2 linked regions of the Pelodiscus sinensis genome follow. The protein of the gene in region 2 interacts with the protein of the main gene of each other region in a pairwise test. Links are inferred from orthologs where the notes say so. Each region holds a gene or a part of one and is shown on either strand. Other genes may lie near its edges.

Region 1 (10,149 bases), on a different chromosome or scaffold from region 2:
GCTGGTTGACCATGGCTAGTTCACTACAGAACACGTTGAACACCATGGAATGAAAGGCTACGCGGTCTGGCATTGCTACCAGGTTCTGGTGGTGCCTCTAGCTAAGACCAGTCCGTGCAATATATTTGCAGTCCTGCCTTCCAGAAGATGCTCTCTTTGCTCCCAAGGTTCATGACTATGTGGGGCAGCAGCAGCAGAAAGTAGCTCTAGCTCTACTCCAGTCAGTTCAAGAAGACGGAGGTCTATCCCTACCCAGCATCTTTTCTGAGCCCTCCTTTCCCATGAACCAGCTCTAGTGCTACTTCAGCTCACAACTTTTTCAAGCAGCATATATGACAACACAACTCGTTTTCTACTACCACAGTGCTCTGCCCAGCTGCATAAAGAGCAACCAGTCTCATTAATTTCACTCCAACCTTGCTTGGGAAGGTTGGACAAGATGCAGCAAGGACAATCCACACACTCAAGACAGCACAAACTGCTGACGGTCCCATTTGGACGGTTTCCTCTGCAGTCAGAAGGACTGCAATCATTCAAAAAGTTAAATGTAACAAAATCATGAGCTACAGAATTCTACAGAAGTCAATGCTCTAGCCCAGGGTGGACAATAATTTTTGCCCGGGGGCCACTTCAAAAAATTTTGAAGTAGCCCCAGGCCACATCGGGAAGGGGCAGGGCCTAAACAGGAAGGGGAAGGGCTACCCCACCCCCAGACCAAGATTGGCCTGGGGGTGGGGAGTCCATTTGCCCCTCCTTCCTACTAGGCACTCATGCCCTGGAAACGGCTTGGCACGCTCTGCAACCCCCAGGCCAATCAGGGCCTGGGGGCAGAAGAGTGCAGGAAGCCTCCTCCTACCCTGCGAGGAGCCCGTGGAACTCTGAAGTGCCAGAGTACCCTTGCAGGGCCAGGGCAGGGCAAAGGAAGCTTCACGCAGCTCCCCCACCCCCAGGTCCTGATTGGCCTGGGGGCGAGGGAGCACACAAAGCCCTGGAAGGAGGCTTTGGGTGTTCCCCCGCCCCCAGGCCGTGCTGGCCTGGGGGCAGGGGAGCAGCAGGGCCTCCATGCCCTTTTGCTCACCCCTGCTCTAGTCTCTCCTACCACCCTGCTCACCAGGGAAAGCTGCCAACTCATCACCAGCAAGTTGACTTTGACAATCTCCAGATTTTTAAATACCCATTTTATCATTATTATTTATTGCTCATATCATTGTAGCACCACGTTTTAATAACCTGAGACATTATGAGTGGGAAATTTGCAGTTAAGGTTAATAAATGGTTTGATAACTAGACAGTATCATTTAAGGAAGAGACCATTCTATCAGACAATTGATAAACAGTTAAATAAGAACTCGGAAATCCTCCATAGAAGATCCAACACTCTGAACCATATTCGCTCTGCAGGGTGACAGTGGAAGTGGCTCAGAGAAGCAGACTTGTAGAGAAATATCATGATCTTGTAAGATTCACTTTTCCATCTTCCCATCCCAGTCTCCCCTCCAAAAACACATTTTAAAAATAATCTTTACCTCCCAAGCATATCTTGTTAGATCTTTTTAAACAAAGCTGAAGTTACCAAGTCAAATTCATGGATCAAATGTGAGTTTGTCACCAAAATCACTTCAGAGGTGAAAACAAAAATCAAACCATCTTCTGACCCTCACTTTATGTCTCCTTTAATCATCTCTCCCCATTTGGACTCTGGAGAACAGTTTCACTTTCACATTCTTGATAGCTCAGGGCTTGTGTTTCAACAGGGCAGGGGAGCATCTATTTACTTTTGAATTGTACAGCAGAACTTTTTAAATACACACTTTAAGCATTTCTATTGGGCACAGGTTTGTTTGTTTGTTTTATGACCAAGTGAAATATAGCAGATAATTTTGTTTCAACAGCAACAATTTAAATATATGCAGAAGCTAATCTTAGTACAATATCTATGTACTAACAGCAGAAAGTTCCTCCGCTCAGGTCTGTGAATACTCTTGCTAAATAAAAACAGCACAGCCAGCGGGGCACTCACTTTTATGCACCTTGGGCACAAACACACACGACTGATTTATTTTTAATACACCAGACAGCATGATTAGTTTAATAAGTTAGGTACCAATGTGCAAGGAGGCCTTATACGCAGAAGAGCCACAATGTCTACTGTAAGAGTCCACCCACACACAGCAGATTGCAGGATCAAGGCGTTAGATATTTGAAAGACTTTCCAATGGTGTTTTAAGGATATTTTAATGAACTGCTTGTTGATTCAGTGGAAGCCTATAGAGAGATTTGTAAAACTCTGACTTTAGGAGTCCCAAAGGGGTAGTTCTGTTAGTCTGCAACTTCCAAAAAAAAAAAAAAAAGCAAGTTTGTGTGGGCAAAACCCACTCTCTCACAGGAACAGAGTGGTCATCTGAGGAAGTGGGTTTTGCCCACAAAAGATCATGATACTATTATATATGTTAATCTCCAAGATGCTACAAGACTGCTCATTGTTTTTCCTCAATTTAGGAATCTGCCTAAGTATTATTCACCTCTCCCTCCCTCCAATCCAGAGCTATGGATTAAACTACCCCCAGCAATCTGCTACCTTCCCCTCTTGCATTGGATTTTCACCTGAGTCAAGTTCAATGTTCCACTAACCCTTACATAAAACTCAACAGGAGTCTGATATTAGTTCTCCCTCTCACCTGCTCTCTTTGTCACCTTCTCCAACTCCTGGCTCTGCATATTTTCTATGCCACTCCCTATGCTGAGGCCAGTCATACATGCAAAGCATCTCACCTCTCCACCTTCAAACAATTCTTTGTATAATATCACTGGACAAAATGTCCTGAAGTTGCCATCCTGTACATCATGTTTGTCTAAGAACTGGTCTAACAACAAAATTGCACTAAAGGTTTTTTTTTAAAAACCTATTTAGTTAAACGAACAAAAACTCCATAGACATTTCTAATTTGATTTAAACCTGGTTTATGTTGGTTTAGCTTGTGTCAGTAAGTTTACATGCACAAACTGATATGATGTGTTGGTTATAAATATCACGAGTGATCTACAACTGTTAAATATTTTTAAGTGAAATTTGCTTAAACCAGTGCAGTTTCTGCAAAAGATTTTAAGGCCTTGTTTACACAAAGAACCCACACAAGCTTAGAGGCAAATGTCAGTTAGAAGTGACCACAAAAGGATTTGCACTGCTCTATCACTTTAAAACTAGCTGCATGGTTTAGTTTGTGCCTAGCAATTTCCAAAGGTAAGGTAAACCTATACAAGCCAGGTTTAAATCATTTTAAGATGCTCTATATGGGGTTATCCATCAAATTTAAATCATACCTTTAATTAAACCAGTGTTACTTTGTGTTTAGACAAGCTGTAAGCTCTTTTGAGGGAGTGAGTTTGTGTTGCATTTGCAACAATCTAAACATTAGAACAGAAAAGTAAACTGTATATAAGGCCTGCATAAAAGGGAAAATAAACAAAGCACAATCTTAACAGATCGCTCCTACTCCCACACACATACACACCAGTTCATCACAAAAACTCTGCACAAGAAAAGCAAACAATTCCATCCCAGGTGCAGAGGGCTGTCAGCGATACAAGATAACAGCAGAAGCCTTTATTATTGTGCATGGAGACAGGCAGCGTAAGCAGCCCCTGATAAGATGTGGCTGGTGACGGACGGACTGACTACAGAGAAAGGAGGGTTCACCGGGATAGTGTAAACAGGGGCACTGCGAGGGGATGGACCAATCACACCTTGCAGGGGAGGAGAGAAGAGGGATGCCGTCTGACAGGCACCAGACGGATTCCTCCAATAATTTCTTGGGAGCCCAGTGAGGGGCAGCGGCCAGGGAGGAGGAGGCCAGAGAAGCGATGAGGCAGCGAGCTAAGCCTAGTGCTGCTTTCGCTGGGCCTCGCATCCAGCCGGGCGCGTCTCGCCCATTCAGGGTCGCACAGCGGGCTCCTCATCTTCGGAGCAGGGCCGGGCTCGCAGGGCAGCTGGCAGCGAGGGGGGCACCCCCCAGAGCGGGGCAGCGCTGAGGGGGACCCCACAGCCGACGAGGCTCTCACAAGGGGGGGGAGACAGGTGTGGGGGGAGTGTCTAGAGCAGGGGGAGCGAGGCGCCCCAGGAGATGCCCCTCCAGCCCCAAGGGGGCCCCACCCCCCACAGTCCCGGGTGCCGCCAACACCCCCCCCAGGAACCCCGAGGGGGGAAAGGAGGGAGGCCAGGCCCCTCCCCCCGCTTGAGCCCACCCCTAGCTCAGCCCGGCCTGTGCCGCCCCCGAGGCTGGGCACCTCCCGGCCATTCAGCGCCGGGCCGCGCCAGCAGCGCGTGGCCCCTCCCCCGGCGGCCCCGTTACCTGGTTTTTCCCTTTATCCCGCTCGCTCCCTCAGCCCCTTTTCTCTCCATGGAGATGTGCACATGCGCACTCGCTCAACGCCCCCTCCCCTCCCGCCGCCGCTGCCGCCATTACCGTGCGGGGCGGAAACAAGGGCGGTAACCCGGCCCCGCCCCTCCCTGCGCCACCACTCGCCGCCATCTTGGTCAGGGGCGCATTGGCTCCGTCTTCCCCCGCCGCCATCTTAGTGCCGGGCACCTTGCGTCACGGCTCCCAAGCGGGCGCCATTTTAGTGCGTCGCGTTGCCTTTCGCTGCTTCGGGCGGGCGCCATCTTAATCCGGGGCGCTCTCTACGCCAACTTCCGGTGGGGGCTGGCTTCATGCACCCCGACTTCCGGGGCCGGAGACGACCTTGTGTTCCGGCGTCTGTCAGACGCCATTTTGAATGAGGGCAGAACACACTTTCGGCCATCTTTGCCAGGGGCAAACGTCATTCTGGCTAGCTGCCTGTCTCCTTGGCTACCCAAGAAGTGGGGACAGCTTGCTCCCCCCATATAAATGCCATGGATTGATGGGGGCTTGGGAGTTTTGCTCCTGAGCCCCTTTTACTTCTTTCTTATATAGAGTTAGGAGGCTAACCCTCCCCATAATTAGTATATTGACCCCCCCGACATTAGGGGCTTATCCCCTCAGCCCCATATCAGGGTCCCCCACCTGATACTGAGCTTGTTCAGCTCTTTCCCCTCGAATTAGGGATTTTAACCCCCGGGGAAGTACCCCTCTGTAAGCAGGGCCTGAATGAATCCCACTGACAGCAGAGCTGGGAGGGGGAGCCCTCGGGAGCCGTCAGTACATGCCCACTAATGGGTACATGAACACACGGGCTGTGCCTCCCTGTCCAGCAGCCAGATGCTGAATTGCCCAAAGTGACCAGTTACAGAAGAACATCCAACAGACCAAAGGTCCCTCTAGCCCAGGATCCTGTCTTCCCACAGTGGCCAATGCCAGGGGCCCTTCTAGAGGGAGTGAACAGAACAGGGAATCATCACATAATCCCTCTCCCGTCACCCATTTCCAACCTCTGCTAGAGCCTAGGGCAGTGTTTCCCAACCAGGGTTCTGCAGAACCCTGGGGTTCCGCAGACCATCGTCAGGGGTTCTGTGAGAAATTGTGGAATAAATAAATAAAAATTTTGAAATACCGCGAACAATTCCAAATATCCTTCAAAATATCGCGGGAATTTTTTTCCAGCAATTGGCGATACTGGAGTAATCTTTGTACACTGCCAACTGCCTCTTTGTTCTGTTTAGGTCAGTTCATATCTAAGGTTATATTACACACACACATCGCTCACCAGTCGCACGGTTCTGCTCATGCGCAGATTTCTCTGCTCCGGCTCTTCCCGGGTGTAATCTACTCGCCATGGGTGAGTAAGTTACATTATTTGTCGAGCCATATATATATATATATACACACACACACACACACATACAGGGCTCGACAAATAGTGTAATCTACTCGCCCGTGGCGAGTAGATTAAACCCCAGAAGAGCCAGTGTGGAGCAATCTGCGCATGCGCAGAGCGCAGAACCGTGCGGCTGGCGAGCGGGGCTTGCTGCCGCTCGACGAGCCCTATATATATATATATATAAACAGCTCTTTACAAATAAATTTTCTTGACAATAATTTGAATAAATTGAATTGCGCTTCCTGCTGTCAACTTTTTCTGGCCAAGCAAATGTTTTCATAGGTAGGGGTTCCTCGGGATATGAAAAATTATTTTAGGGGTTCCTCCATGGGAAAAAGATTAGGAATCACTAGCCTAGGGACATCATTCCTACCCATTCTGGCTAATAGCCATTGATGGACCTATCCTCCTGGAATTTATCTAGCTCTTTTTGAACCCTGAAGTCCTAGCCTTCACCACATCCTCTGGCAAAGAGTTCCACAGGCTGACTGTGCGCTGCATGAAGAAAAGCTTCCCTTTGTTTTCTTTAAACCTGCCATCTATTAATATCATTTGGTGACCCCTAGTTCTTATGTTATGGGAGCAAGTAAATAACTTTCCCTCATTCACTTTTTCCATACCAGTCATGATTTTATAGACTTCTATCATACCCCCCTTCGTCTCTTCTTTTCTAAGCTGAAAAGTCCCAGTCTTTTTAAATCTCTCTTTAGATGGGACCCATTCCAAACCCCTAATAATTTTTGTTGCCCTTTTCTGAACCTTTTCCAATGCCTAGATACCTTTTTTTGTGATGGGGCAACCACATCTGTATGCAGTATTCAAGATGTGGGCTTACCATGGTTTTATATAGAGGCAATAAGATATTTTCTGTCTTATTCTCTATCCCTTTTTTAATGATTCCCAACATTCTGTTTGCTTTTTGACTGCTGCTGCACATGGAGAGGATGTTTTTAGATAACTAACCACAGTGACCCAAAGATCTCTTTATACTGACTGCAGGAAGTAATGAACTGTTCTCAGTGTTCTTATCTTTACTGGGAACAGGCCTGAGTTTAATCTGTCCCAAATGAGTAGGTCAGCCTCATCTTGAAAGGACCTTGTTAAGTCAGGGGCTTAAATGGAAGAGCTGGGGAGGGTATGAAAGGATGCGATTGTGTGCAGGAGTGCACACTTTCACGCACACATCACTGTGAGTTGACAGTAAGGCTATGTCTACACTGCAACGTTATTTCGGAGTACCCTGAAATAGCTATCCTGCGTCTTCACAGCAAGCCCATTATTTCGGGCTCGTTAGTCCGATGCCCCAGTAAACTTCATTCTACAAGAAGTAAGGGATGTTTCAGAATATCGCTTTATTTCAAAATTTGGCACTGTGGAGACAGCGCGAAAGGATGAAACAAGCTATTTCGAAATTGTATCGAAATAAGGTATGCAATTTGCATAGCTCAAATTGCTTATCTTATTTTGAGTTACAGTGTGCATGCAACCTAAGATACTGACTGGCCGAATCCAGTCACATAGCAACAGAAGGTACCTAAGGCTATGTCTATATGGCACCCTTTTTCCGCAAAAGCTTGTGCAAATGAAGCGTGGAGTAGAATATCACCATGCTTAATTTGCATAATTAATTGTTCTGTGTGGTTTTGTTGAAAAGGAATCTCTAGAGCCTGAATCTGGCCCTGGTTGCTGCCGGTTCCATTAGGGTTGTCAACTGTCTAATCATACAAACCCTAACATCCCTACCCTGTCCTGCCCGTTCCCTTTCCAGTTCCGCCCCGGGCCCCACGCTTCAAGAAGCCCCACGCATGCGCCATGATGCCACCGTGCATGCGCCATGTTAAAGGGGGGGGGGCCCACAAAATTGTGCTGCCCTGGGTCCTGCAAAATCCTCATCTGCCCCTGTGTGCACCAGTCCAGGCTCTGGCCCTGAGTGTCGAGGTCTGGATCCAGGCAAGCCGGGCCTGAGGCTCCCCATCCTTGCCCTTCACCTTAAGCCTCTTGTGCACTGCCAGAGGAGGGGGACCAGGCCTGGGTGGAAGGAAATGGGAGATAGGTTTTACAATGGTGGGCCTCTCTCCTGCCCTGCAACCCTCACCTCTTCCAGTGTGGGGCTTCACGCAGTCTGCTGCTGCTGCACCTCGGTCCTGCCCTGCAGTGGGCCTAGCTTCTGACCAACTAGCGCTGATGAAACACCAACCTGCCCCATTCCTTGCTACTCCAGTCTGGCTAGCCCATGGGCTCCTTGCAGGATCGGCACCTTAGTGATTTAGGCAAAGTGAGACCATGGGAATGAAGGTCCCAGCCCTTACTGGGTTAACACCTCCCCTCCCCGCCCCCACCCAGGCACGCATTTTCCTAGTTAGCCTGGATTTCAACCCAGATCTTCTCCTGCCGAAGTCCAGGGGTTAAATTCTAGCTGATGGTAACACTGGACATGCCTTTTGAACTCATCTCATTTGCACACCCTTTACAGTCAAAGGAGCCCTTTGTGCCCTATACGAGCAAGGCACAACATGGCCCTGTTCAGCCCAGACAAACCCACGCACCGGTGGTGCCCTACTCTGACAAACCTGACATCTCTGGATTGCCCATCTGGGACTCAGCAGCACAGGATCAGAGACTCTTGTATGAAAAGCTACCACCACAACTGCATGGATTGCTTCCAAACAATCTTTATTATCCGGGAAGAGGAGGCAGGAGCTACAAATCCTTGTCAAACCCAAACCAGCTGCCATCTCAGGTTAACAAAATACTGGAGTCCCCGACACAACTGGTGAAACAGGAATGCTGACTGGAGCGGTGTTGGGAGACTAGAAACCCAAGGACTCAGCCGGGGTAGACTAGCAATCAAAATAGGCCCGGGAAATGGGTTGAGAACGGCCCTCTCCCTGATGTCACCTCTGCATGCCCCTCCATCTTTCCCTGCATCCAGGGCCGGCTCTAGTTTTTTTGCTGCCCCAAACAAAAAATGGTTTGGCTGCCCCCCCCCCCCCTTTTTTTGTCCAGGGAGGGTGTGCGCGCAAATGCAGCTTGCGTGGCTTGCTGGGGGTGCGTGCACAAATGCAGCTTGTGCAGCTTTGAAGGTGAATGGGGGAGCATTGCCCCAGAGGAGGAGGGGTGAGTGCCGGGGGGAGCACTCCCCCAATCAAATCCTCCCCCGCCTCCCCCCAGCCAAGCACCAGAGGAACATACCTTGAAAACCACTGCTCCTCCCACCCAGCTGGCTGCTTCAACTGCAGTTTGGAGAGAGCCACTCAGCCACGGCAGCTCCCGGACCCAAGAGCAGCATGTGCTCTCTGGTCCCACCCCAGACCGGTGCCCGGGAAAGCGGGGGCAACTGCCCCACCCCCACCCCCCTTCGCTATGCCTCTGGAGTGGGGAGGAGCGGAGAGGGGAGGGCCGTGCAGAGCCAGAACTCCAGCAGCCACTCCCAGGAGCAGCTTGCCGGGTTTATCCCCCTTCTCCTCCAGCAGCCGCCAGCTGGCCCTTTGGCCGCCGGCCCACTGGGAAATGCCTGGTATCCTGCCGGGACAATCCGCCCCTGGACTCAGCTGCTCCTTTCATATTAAAGGCAGGAAGATGCAAAATTAGAGCTGGACGTGCCTGTATATCTCATCTAGGCCATCGGCCATAGCCTCGTTTCCTACCATAGATTTTCTAGGCCTTTCGGCAGTGTTGTTGCCCAAAGAAAAGGGACAGGCTGGGCTGCAGAGACACAACATTCCCCACTTGCTAACCCTGCCCTGAAGGGAGCATCAGAAAGGAGCCCAGCTATTAGGGCTGGCTCATTCCTTGGCCTCTCTGGTGAGCCTAGTGACTGTAAATAAGGGACAAGCAGCACTAGTGCCGGTGGTTTCTCTGAAATTACAAGGAGATAGCTCTAAGCAGCAGATTGTCCTGCATGGCTCCAGCAGCATACCTTGGCTGCTGCCCATTACCGTACAACCCACCTGACTGCTGTAGGTCTGTGACATATCCAGTTGGCCTTTGCAGCTAAGGGCAGCAGACTAACAGGAGGCAGGGAAAAGTCCTGGGGTTGAATTTGGGAGAGAGGAACATTCTCACCTTGTCCATTTCCTAAAAGCAAAAGGGGCCAAGGGGTTGGGGAGCCAAGAGCACGATTGTTGTGGTTCAGCCCTGGTGGAAGTGGAGGTAACTGGCTGGAGGAGCCAGAGTTCTCTTCTCTGCTGAAAATGAGACGCTGAGGGAAGACTCAGCGATCACATCTGAGCGGCGTTCGCTCTGGCGGAGGCTGGGGCCCACGTGGCCCATTGTGGTTCAGAGACCCTGCTCCCAGAAAGGAGATCCTCTTCCTTGAGGCACACGGCGTTTCTTTTGCTGCACAACCCAACC
Region 2 (10,278 bases):
TGATGAGGCCTCAGAAGGTTCCTTGTTTAACAACCTTCCACTCCCCACCCCATTACTGGACACTTTCCCTTAGATCTGACAGTTCATCTCTCCCTTCAACCCACAACATGGGGATTTTTTGTAACAGTCTGGGTGCCTCAGTTTCCCTCTGTACTTTGCATTGCTACCCAGTGGAAGTTTCTTACATCTGCTCTAGAGGGCAGTGCAGGATGAGGGGTGTTGTCTTGCTGCCTCGGTCCCACTGAATGGGTCATCAGTTCTGGATAGAACTGATTGAAACCATCCAGACCCACAGAGGGGTCAGAGAGACAGGAAGTACAGCAGTGGGAAACTCTGGCAGGCAGGATTGGGAACTCAGCTAGGCCCAGCCTGCGGACAAAGGATGGGAGGTCACCTGAAGAGGGTATAGAGTCTGTTTCTGGACCAGGCTGATGGCTCACACCAGCGCTCAGGGAGAAGCAGCCTGAAATGGAATCACTTACAGCTGGGATGGTGTGTGGTTCTGCCTTGGCCAGATGGACTGTGTCAGTGCTGGGTTGCAGGCAACTGCTGAGAAAAGGCTGGCTGGTCTCACTGCACATGTGTGCTGAGGAGCGTTTGTCTCTGAAGAGGGGACAAGACTGACTAGGAGTCTGTCTGCACTGGACTGGCTGGGCAGCACGCCCGTGTGATGCAGCAGGGCTGGAGCCCGGAGGCCTGCCCTGATGGAAGAATGGGCCCCATTGCTGCAGGGGTTCCTCCAAGAGGTTGTTTAAAAGCTCAGCCCTGAGCCTTTGGATCCCTGCACCTTCCCACCGCCGTGCTGGTGTGTTGGGGCTGGAAATGGGTTCTAGCTCCCTACAGTCAATTTACCCACTCTGCTGGCCTGGGGATTTTAAACTCATGATCAGTGCAGAGGTTTCTATTGGGCTTACCCCTTTGGTGGTCAGGGGGAAATCCAAGTCTTGATATCTCCATTTTACAGATGGAGGACTAAGGCACAACCTCCCCAGAGAGGGCTCTGCCCTGGTTCACAGAGCAAGTCATTAGCAGAGAACCCAGGAGTCCCAATGCCCCATCCCTGCTTCTTCCCTCACCTCCCAGCATCAGTTTGCCCCTTCCCCCTCCTCCCAGAGCTGGGAGTAGACCCCAGGAACACTGACTGTACCTATTAGGCTCGATGTCACCCTGGAAGTGACCTCTTTTAGCCCTCAGACATAGCCCCTTCCATTCCCCACCCAGCCTGTCTGCTTAATACAAAGCTGCCCTGAAGGCCTTTACAGTTCGTACTATCTCTAACCATGGTGGCTAGACACTAGCTGGGGGCTCATGCCCTCCCATCCCAAAGGCACAAACCCCCTTAGGCTTTAGGAGAATCCCCATTGGTGATTGGCAGAATAGTGTCTAGGAGACACAGCTACGTTCCAGCCAGCATTGCATTCAGCAGGGGCAAGTGATGCAGGCAGCACAGCTGATTTGGTGCAATGGGCAGAGGGGCAGGTACCTTGCTAGTGCCATGCCATGCCCACTGTTTGCCTCGTGCCCAGACAGAGGGGTGCCCATGTGGGTTACTTATGTGAGAAGGGAGCTAATGGGGCAGAGCAGAACAGGATGGTTTAGAGTCATTCCCATGTCCCATAGCCTTTTTAGGAGCTAGAGAATGTCAGGGACAGAGCCCAGGGCATGGGGCAGAGGAAGGGACTTGCAGCTCATGGGGTGGGGGATGGTGATATAGACCCTTTCCCCTCCAGTTAGTGCCAGTTCCAATCTAGCCCCCAGCTGGCTCCGGGGTATGGGGTTGTAATATGGGGCCTTCTTCTCTAGAAACCCCAAGCTTGGATCCAGCCCAAAAGCCGTTGTGGGATGGCTGCTTCTGTGCCTGCCAGAGTAAAGTGAGTTTGCTGGGTCATAGCATGGGGGTCCCCTCCCCACCTTGGCTCTAGTCCGTTCCCTCAGCAACAGAGGCCAAGGGCTCCGAGAGGCAGAGGCAAGGCACCTGCTGGGGGTGGGACATCACAGAGGGCTCTGTGCTGCCACTCTGGGCACACACTGGTGATTCCAGCTCCCAGGGCTGCTGAGTCAGCACGATCTGGCGTGTCCCTGCGTGTGAGCAGCAGGGGTGTGTGCGGAAATCCCACCCGCAGATAACCCGCCCTTTGTCCTCCCCACCCTTGACCCAGTTTCCCTGGCCTTGTGGGTCCCTTCCCAGCCCTGGTGTGCAGGTGTCACCCGCAGGGTATTGGTGCCACCCAGCCCTGGGGCAGCAGGCTGGCCGCGCCTTCTGTGTCAGAGAGAGAGCACACCTCAGGGGCTGGGCATGGGAGCGGAGCTTCCCAGGCCCCCTGCCAAGGCTAGTGGCTACAGCAGCTGGGGCTGGGCGCCAGGATGCCTGGGTTCTGTTGCTGGTACTGGGAGGGAGGGCAGGGGAGTATAATGGCCTGGGGGTCAGGACGCTGGGTACTGTGGGCAGTTCTGGGAGGGGAGGAGGCAGCTGGGGGTCAGGACGCTGGGTTCTGTGGACAGTTCTGGGAGGGGAGGGGGCAGCTGGGGGTCAGGACGCTGGGTTCTGTGGGCAGTTCTGGGAGGGGAGGAGGCAGCTGGGGGTCAGGACGCTGGGTTCTGTGGACAGTTCTGGGAGGGGAGGAGGCAGCTGGGGGTCAGGACGCTGGGTTCTGTGGGCAGTTCTGGGAGGGGAGGAGGCAGCTGGGGGTCAGGACGCTGGGTTCTGTGGACAGTTCTGGGAGGGGAGGAGGCAGCTGGGGGTCAGGACGCTGGGTTCTGTGGACAGTTCTGGGAGGGGAGGGGGCAGCTGGGGGTCAGGACGCTGGGTTCTGTGGGCAGTTCTGGGAGGGGAGGGGGCAGCTGGGGGTCAGGACGCTGGGTTCTGTGGACAGTTCTGGGAGGGGAGGAGGCAGCTGGGGGTCAGGACGCTGGGTTCTGTGGACAGTTCTGGGAGGGGAGGGGGCAGCTGGGGGTCAGGACGCTGGGTTCTGTGGGCAGTTCTGGGAGGGGAGGGGGCAGCTGGGGGTCAGGACGCTGGGTTCTGTGGGCAGTTCTGGGAGGGGAGGGGGCAGCTGGGGGTCAGGACGCTGGGTTCTAGCCCCTGTGCGGCAGCTGTTGGCACGCGGACGGCAGGCGCCGCAGCTGGCAGTGGGGTGGGGCCGGCAGCTGTCGCAGGGCCGCCCTTATGCAAGAGGAAACGGCGGAATCTCAGCACCCTGGCCACGGGCTGGGGTGAATGGCGGGGCCAGGCGGGGTGAGCGCGACCGTGACTCAGCCCCGCCGGTTCTGATGACTCACCGGGCATGACTTAGCACCCTGGAGCTCCAGCGGGAGCCATCTCCCGGTCTGCCCTGCTGCCGTAGCCTGGAGCCCCCCGCCCCCACTACACGCATCCAGCTGCTGTGGGAAGGAGCTGCCTGGGGTCTGTCTTCAGTGGACTGCCTGGGTCCCCCTCTCCCACGGCTCCGAACAGCCCAGAGAGGGAGGCGAGTCGTAAACCCAGCTGGCCCTGACCTCCTCCTCAGCTGGATTTTCAGCTCCGTGCCCGTCCTGCGGGACACGGACGGAGGAATCCGGAGATGAAGTGGTTGCCCAAGAGCTGGCCCAGAACCCAGCAGTCCGGACTCCCATCACCCCCAGCCGTAGAGCTCAGGCGTCTGCCTTCCCCTTTCCAACTCTAACTCCTAAACCCCGCTCCCCTCCCCGAGCTAAAGTGCTGCGGGTCTGGCCGATCCACCAACCCGCTGAACTTAGATGCCCTGCTGCATGTGCTTCCTCAGCCCCCTCCTGGATGGGGTATACTGTGTGTCATAAACCCTGTAGGATGACATTTGACGGGGAGTCCCCCCGACTGGAACAGGGTCTCTGGGGTGTCTCATTACGGTGGCTGGGCGGTGGGCAGGGACACGGACACCCCAGGCCCCCACAGCGCAAGATCAGCGTAAGGCTCAGTCAGCTGCCGGAGTAGGGAGCCCCCCCCCCCCATCACTCTGCTGTAGAGCGCCGGGCGGGGGAAACCCCTGCATTTTTCTGCTGTCTGCACGCGAGTGCCTGCGTGTGGGGGGGAGGGGGCAAACAAGCAGGCGCCACGCGGTGGGGTGAATCAACCCGGAGCATTAGTCACCGGGGCTCCCCCCAGGAGGGAGAGTGAGGGCTCCCCTCCCCCCGCTCCTCCAAAAGAAACGAGAGCGAAAACGAGAAAGGAAAGGGAAAGCACAGCATGGGCAGGCGGGACAGAGCCTGCGGAGGGGATCGGTGACTGGCTAGCGGGCAGGTGGCGAGCTAGGTGGGTGAGGAAGGAAGGGAAGGACAATCAGAAAGTGGCATGAATAGACAGCTGGGGATGAGGATGGCTAGAGAATAGATTAGACAGGAGAGTGGGTATGACAGACAGTGAAGGAATGGGGGTAAACCAACAGACTGTGGGGGAATGAGGGTACACTCATAGACTGTGGGGAAATGGGGTGGACTCACAGACAGTGGAGGTGTGAGAGTAGACTGATAGTGGAGGAGTGGGTGTACACTGACAGACTGTGGGGGTATGGCGGTAGACTGACAGACAGTGCGGGTATGGGAGTGGACTGACAGTGGGGAAAGAGGAGCTGGAACAATTTGTATCATGGGGGCGCTAGAGCCACTGTGAAACCAGTACCCTCCCAGCGCTTCTGGAGGAGGTGTGCATGGGGACTGGGCACTGCCGGGCAGACATCAGGGGAGGTGTGCATGGGGGCGGACAGACAGACAGGTGCGCATGGGAACGGGCAGATGGGGAGGTGTGAATAAGGACCGACAGACGGACACAGCGGAATAGGTATGGGGATTGGAGACAGATCGACTGCCCCCTAGTTCTTTTCCCTTTGCCCCGCTTCCCCCTTACCTGCTGCGGCTGCCCTGGTCCCGGAGTCCCTGGAACGACGGCCGATCCCATGCTGCGCAGGGCAGGGTGCTGAGGGCGAGGGTTGTACGAGGATCCCGGGCCATCCGTACTGCCCGCTCCATAGTTCCTGAACATGTCTAGATCTGCTCTGGGGCCGTAAGATGCCGGGTCAGTCCGCCAAGCGCTTCTCTAAACTGGCTCCCTCCAAGTTACTTTTTTTATGAATGGGTACTCCAGGACCTGCTCACTTTAGTCTAGGCAGGGGAGGGGCGAGTCCCACCTCACGCCCTTTTCAAGTCATCAGGAAGCAGAGAATCCCCGCTCCAGTAACCCACTCTGGTGTTTCTCAGACTTATTCAATTAAGATGCACCCTTTTTAGGGGAATCAGAGTTGGTGAGCCCCTAAAAGGACAACCAAGTCAATCTTTCCCCCTTACTCTAAATCTACTTGGTACGGTCTGGGGATTGACTCAGTGCTCGATGACGTAGATGTCCATATATAGTATGATTTCCTCTGGCTTGCTCTGCAATAGTAAAGGATTCCCCTCGGTGTTTGTTTCCAAACTCTGTTTGTTCAAGATGCGTATCGGAGATCCCGTCGCAGCACTGCAATAACAACGCCACACAAACAAACACCCACACCTATACACTTTCACATACACCCCGAACCTCAGGCAGGTGCAACACCCAACACCGCTCACATATGTACAACCACCCCACTCTTACTACAGCACACACCCTGCACACCACCACGGCGTGCACCTCTGTACCACACACAGCTGTGCAACAACACGTCCATCCCCTCACAACCACGATGGATGTGGAGCTACATGCATCGCTGTTGCACAACTACAAGCATCGTTGTTGCACACAGAAATACACACATGGGCACCTTCCACACCCCGCGCAACAATAAACAGGCCTAAACACGGACAGACAGACACTCCCATCAGGCCAGGTAGATGGTTTTCACATGTCAAAGATACAAAGACGCAGCGAAAGACACTCTCCCCCCCCCCCTCCCTCCCTTCCCCAGCGTCCAATACATGAATTCGGGGCTGGCTGGATAGGACCCCAGGAGCAATGCGGGCCGGGCCCTGTTTATAGGTGCTCGCTTTCCCCCCCCCCCCCCCCCCCCCCCGCACATGCCTGGCGCTGCCAGGTTTTGGGGCCCAATGAGATGATTGTAAATCCCGTGAATCCCCATTTCCCCCAGCGGTGCAGGAGCTGGAATTCCCCCCCCCCCCCAAGGTTAGAATAGGAACACCCAGCCCAACCCAGGCGTATCCCCCTGCAATCTGGCTGCGACCTCTCCTCCTGCAGTACCGCAGAGCCCCTTGCTCTTTGAACAGAGACTAAGCCTGACTCCCCCACCCACCCCTGCTGAGACTCTACAGTCTCCCCTCCCCGTAAGCGGCTGGAAGATGCCCTAGTGTGGAGAATGGAAGTGGCCAGCTAAGTGGGACTCAGAACTGTATTCTGTCCCCAGCTTTGGAAGGAGGGAGGGGGGCCTATTGTGTTAGAGCAGGGGCGGGGGCCAAGGCCCCTGGACCATCCCACCCTAGCTCTAGTTAAGGAGTGGGGTCAGGTGGGTTAAAGTAGAGGGGGCTGGGGTCCTGCCTCCTGGTTCCACCCCCAGCTGGTGGTTTCCCTCGCTCCGAGTGGGCTGCGGGGGTGTACATTCCTGACGCGCAGCAGACGCCTTTGGTCAGAAGCAGGAACTGAAAGCGCCTACCAGCGAAACTGGCAGGGCTGGGCCCAGTGCAGAGAGTGAGAGCATGTCCGGCTCCCGTCCCGCTGCCCCGCGGAGCCAGAGCGCCAGAGTTACCTCCCGCTACTGCTCGGAGACCCCGTGGAGCGAGGGACCCCGTTGTGCCAGACACAGCACAGACCCAGGGAGACACCGTCCCTGTCCTGAAGCGCTCACTGTCTAAACAGATCCCATGTGGAAGGAGAAAATAAGGCACAGAGAGGAAGAGGCTCCTTTAAGGTCACACAGCAGGTCACTGGGGGAGCAGGGAATGAAACCCAGAGGTCCTGTTGCTCAGAGTCCCCTGCCTTAACCGCTAGAACCCCCTCCAACCACCAGGAAGAGAACCCCAGGGGTCCTGGCCGCTTCCCCCAACCTCCAAACAATCAGTTCTTCTGGGCCGTGGCCACAGGGTGGGGGCCAGTGACTCCCCGACCAATGCACCATGATCCCTAGGGTCTGGCCCTGTGCGGGTTAACAATCCATCTCCCCAAGGACCAGGACAGGATGTGAGACACAGGAATGCAGCTGATCTCATGCTCCCGGTGACTAACCTGGCAGGAATGGGGGGCAGAGAGCAGCCAGCTGGCACCCTGCCACTGGCCTTGGGGACCAAGGAGAGATCGGGAGCTATGGCTGACTCCCATCCTAGCTACTGTCCCCCCTGCTCCCCGGTATTTAAACCCTTAGCACAGAGCAATGCAGTCATCCCATTTCCCTGGAGACTAGCATGGGACAGATGCTGGGAGGCTGCAGGTTGGGACTGAGTGTCACCGGCAGAACCACATGGGGAGGGGGAGCCCAGGATTGGAATAGCAGGGAGCTGCAGACTGGCATTGAGTAGCACTGATGGAGGGTGCAAAGCAGGGGGCTGCAGGCTGGCACTGAGGGGAACAGGCAGAGCTGGGGGGGGGGGGAAGCCCAGAGCAGAGGGCTGCAGGCTGGCACCGAGGGACACTGGCAGATCTGGGGGGGGGGGGAAGCCCAGAGCAGAGGGCTGCAGGCTGGCACCGAGGGGCACTGGCAGATCTGGGGGGGAAAGCCCAGAGCAGAGGGCTGCAGGCTGGCACCGAGGGGCACTGGCAGATCTGGGGGGGAAAGCCCAGAGCAGGGGGCTGCAGGCTGGCACCGAGGGGCACTGGCAGATCTGGGGGGGAAAGCCCAGAGCAGGGGGCTGCAGGCTGGCACCGAGGGGCACTGGCAGAGCTGGGGGGGAAGCCCAGAGCAGGGGGCTGCGGGCTGGCACCGAGGGGCACTGGCAGAGCTGGGTGTGTCCCAGCATTTCAAATTCTCCGGTCATCTTATTCCGCCTTTGAAAGCAGCAGCAGTTTCCGGCGGATTCCTGGAGAGCGATGGAGCTGGGGGCGGGGGGTTTCACACAGGCTCCCTCCAGATCGGCACGTGGCACTCACAAGTGTGTGTGGCTGCGAGGCAGGAGGCAGGGCCCCTCCGTGTCTATGGAAGGAACGGGCCAAATCCCAAACAGGAGACGGCCGAGCGCTTTGTGTGCTCATCCACTTACTCACCCTTCCTCTTCCTCCTGACTTTACTCACTTGGCGACTCGGGGTTTGGATCCCAGCCTAACCGGGCACAGCTCCAGGGCTGGGAGAGCAGAGGCTGCAAGTCGGGATTGAGGGGCAGTGGCAGAGACGGGAGGAGGCGATCCAGGGTGGGGGGAGGAGGCGATCCAGGGCGGGGGGAGGGGGCTTTAAGCTCGGCTCAAGAGCCACCTCTCTGGGACTCAAGGACAGCAGGGAACCAGCGTTACCATCTCCTGAGGACACGCAGAGCATGTTAACCCCTTGCTTGCTAGAGCAGAGGGACTGTGGGTGCTGCAGGGCTGTGGGGCGGAGGCTGCCTGAAGATCACCAAACATGTACACCGCCCCCCCACCAGCTGGTGAGTTGGCAGGGCCACTTTCAGCAGTGGGCTGCGGGGGGATAGTCCTTCCTTATCTCCCCTCCCCCACAGTTTAGGGCCCTCCCTCTGCTCTGAGGCTCAAATACTGTCAGGCTGAGGTGCTACAGCATGAGAGGCCATGAGTCTGCGGGGGAAGGGGTATCTCTGCCCATCCCAATCGTGGGCACAAGGGCTAGGGGTGCCAGTATGCACACCAATGCCGCCCAGAACGCAGAGAAGCCCCAGGCACCCTGACACCCCCATGCTGCTCTAAGCTAGCAGTCCCCATAGCCCTTCCAGCATCCCAGTAAATCATCTGCCTGGGTTGGCCTAAGAGAGAGGCTCATGGTCTGTGCCTTTCACCAAAAGCAGTTTTGCCCCTTCCTGTTGCTCCCACCTCCCTTTGGCCCTGTCCCCTGAAGCCCTGCCCTGCTTCCTACCTGCCGTGCTATGTAGAAGATCCCTATGAGCCAGGACTTCTGGGTTCTATTCCCAGCTCCGAGAGGCCAGACAGTTGCATGGCAGCCCCTTAGCATGAGGGTGGGTCCCTCCTTGGGCTTGAGGCAGATGGTGCCAGGCTGGCATACTGAATTGCTGGCACCATGCCCAGCCAGGAGACCGTCCTGGAGCAGCGGGTGTCTGTGGAGCAGGAGGGAGCATTCAAGTCAGTTGTCTTAGTGCTGAGAGATTCTTGTAGAAAAGTCAGACTGGGGCTATGTCTACACTACAGAGTTTTTCTGGGATACCAGAGTCCCAGAAAAACTCTGCTGTGTCCAGAGAACACCTCTGATCTTCTGAATTTTTTTCAGAAGAGCAGATGCACTTTTTCAGCATTCCTGTAAATCTCGTTTTACAAGGAAGAAGGGATGTTCCAAAAAAGATTTTTTTTCTGACATTTAGCCCAGTGTAGATGGACCAAATGTTGGAAAAGCCTCTTCTGAAAAAAGAAGCGGAAAAAGCTACACAATTTGCACTTCACAATGTGCATAGCTTTTTCTGGAAGAACAGTGTAGTGTAGACATAGCCTGCGTGAGACAGAGTGAAAGAGGGATTGGATACAGGGCCTTTCTCCTCTTGGGGCACTGGATTTGATGTGACCCCAGACCGGCTCAGGGGATTGGGTAAGGGGCTATAGAGCCTCTCACCTCTAGGGGATACCTGACCCCATATAGACCTAAGTCATTCATAACTTCAGGCCATTCACAGCTCTGCTGGTGGACTGAGTTGTGGGCCCCATGCCCTGAGGTGTCTGCATCACACCAACCCAAACAGAGAGGCCAAGGGCTGAAGGGTCCACAGAGAACCACTTCCCCTTCAGAAGGGGGCTACAGCAGGCCATTTGTGGAAGAAGGTCTCCATGCTGCAGCCCCATTTTAGGACAAGTATAATCCAGGGCTACGTCTAGACTGGCATGATTTTCCGGAAATGCTTTTAATGGAAAAGTTTTCCGTTAAAAGCATTTTCGGAAAAGAGCATCTAGATTGGCGCAGAGTTCACGTTATAACAATGCGCTTTTGCAGAAAAGCATCCGTGCCAATCTAGACGCACTTTTGCGCAAAAAAGCCCCGATAGTCATTTTCATGATCGGGGCTTTTTTGCGGAAAACAAATCTGAGCTGTCTACACTGGCCCTTTTGCACAAAAGTTTTGCACAAAAGGGACTTTTGCCCGAATGGGAGCAGCATAGTATTTCCGCAAAAAGCACTGATTTCTTACAGTAGGAAGTCAGTGCTTTTGTGGAAATTCAAGCGGCCAGTGAAGACAGCTGGCA

The links.
Region 1: the proteins of FOSL1 (region 2) and USF1 interact in binary tests that used the Homo sapiens proteins (3 or more experiments, as listed by UniProt). The link is inferred for Pelodiscus sinensis from reciprocal best matches to the Homo sapiens genes FOSL1 and USF1.

Annotation. Positions count from the first base shown.
Region 1 is NC_134734.1:13,985,147-13,995,295, reverse strand, and holds the start of USF1 (upstream stimulatory factor 1), read right to left. Parts: upstream 4,581-10,149; 5' UTR 4,464-4,580; exon of another isoform or gene 4,350-4,463; intron 1-4,349.
Region 2 is NC_134721.1:32,505,253-32,515,530, reverse strand, and holds the start of FOSL1 (fos-related antigen 1), read right to left. Parts: upstream 5,193-10,278; 5' UTR 4,994-5,192; coding exon of another isoform or gene 4,981-4,993; coding exon 4,859-4,980; intron 604-4,858; coding exon 483-603; intron 1-482.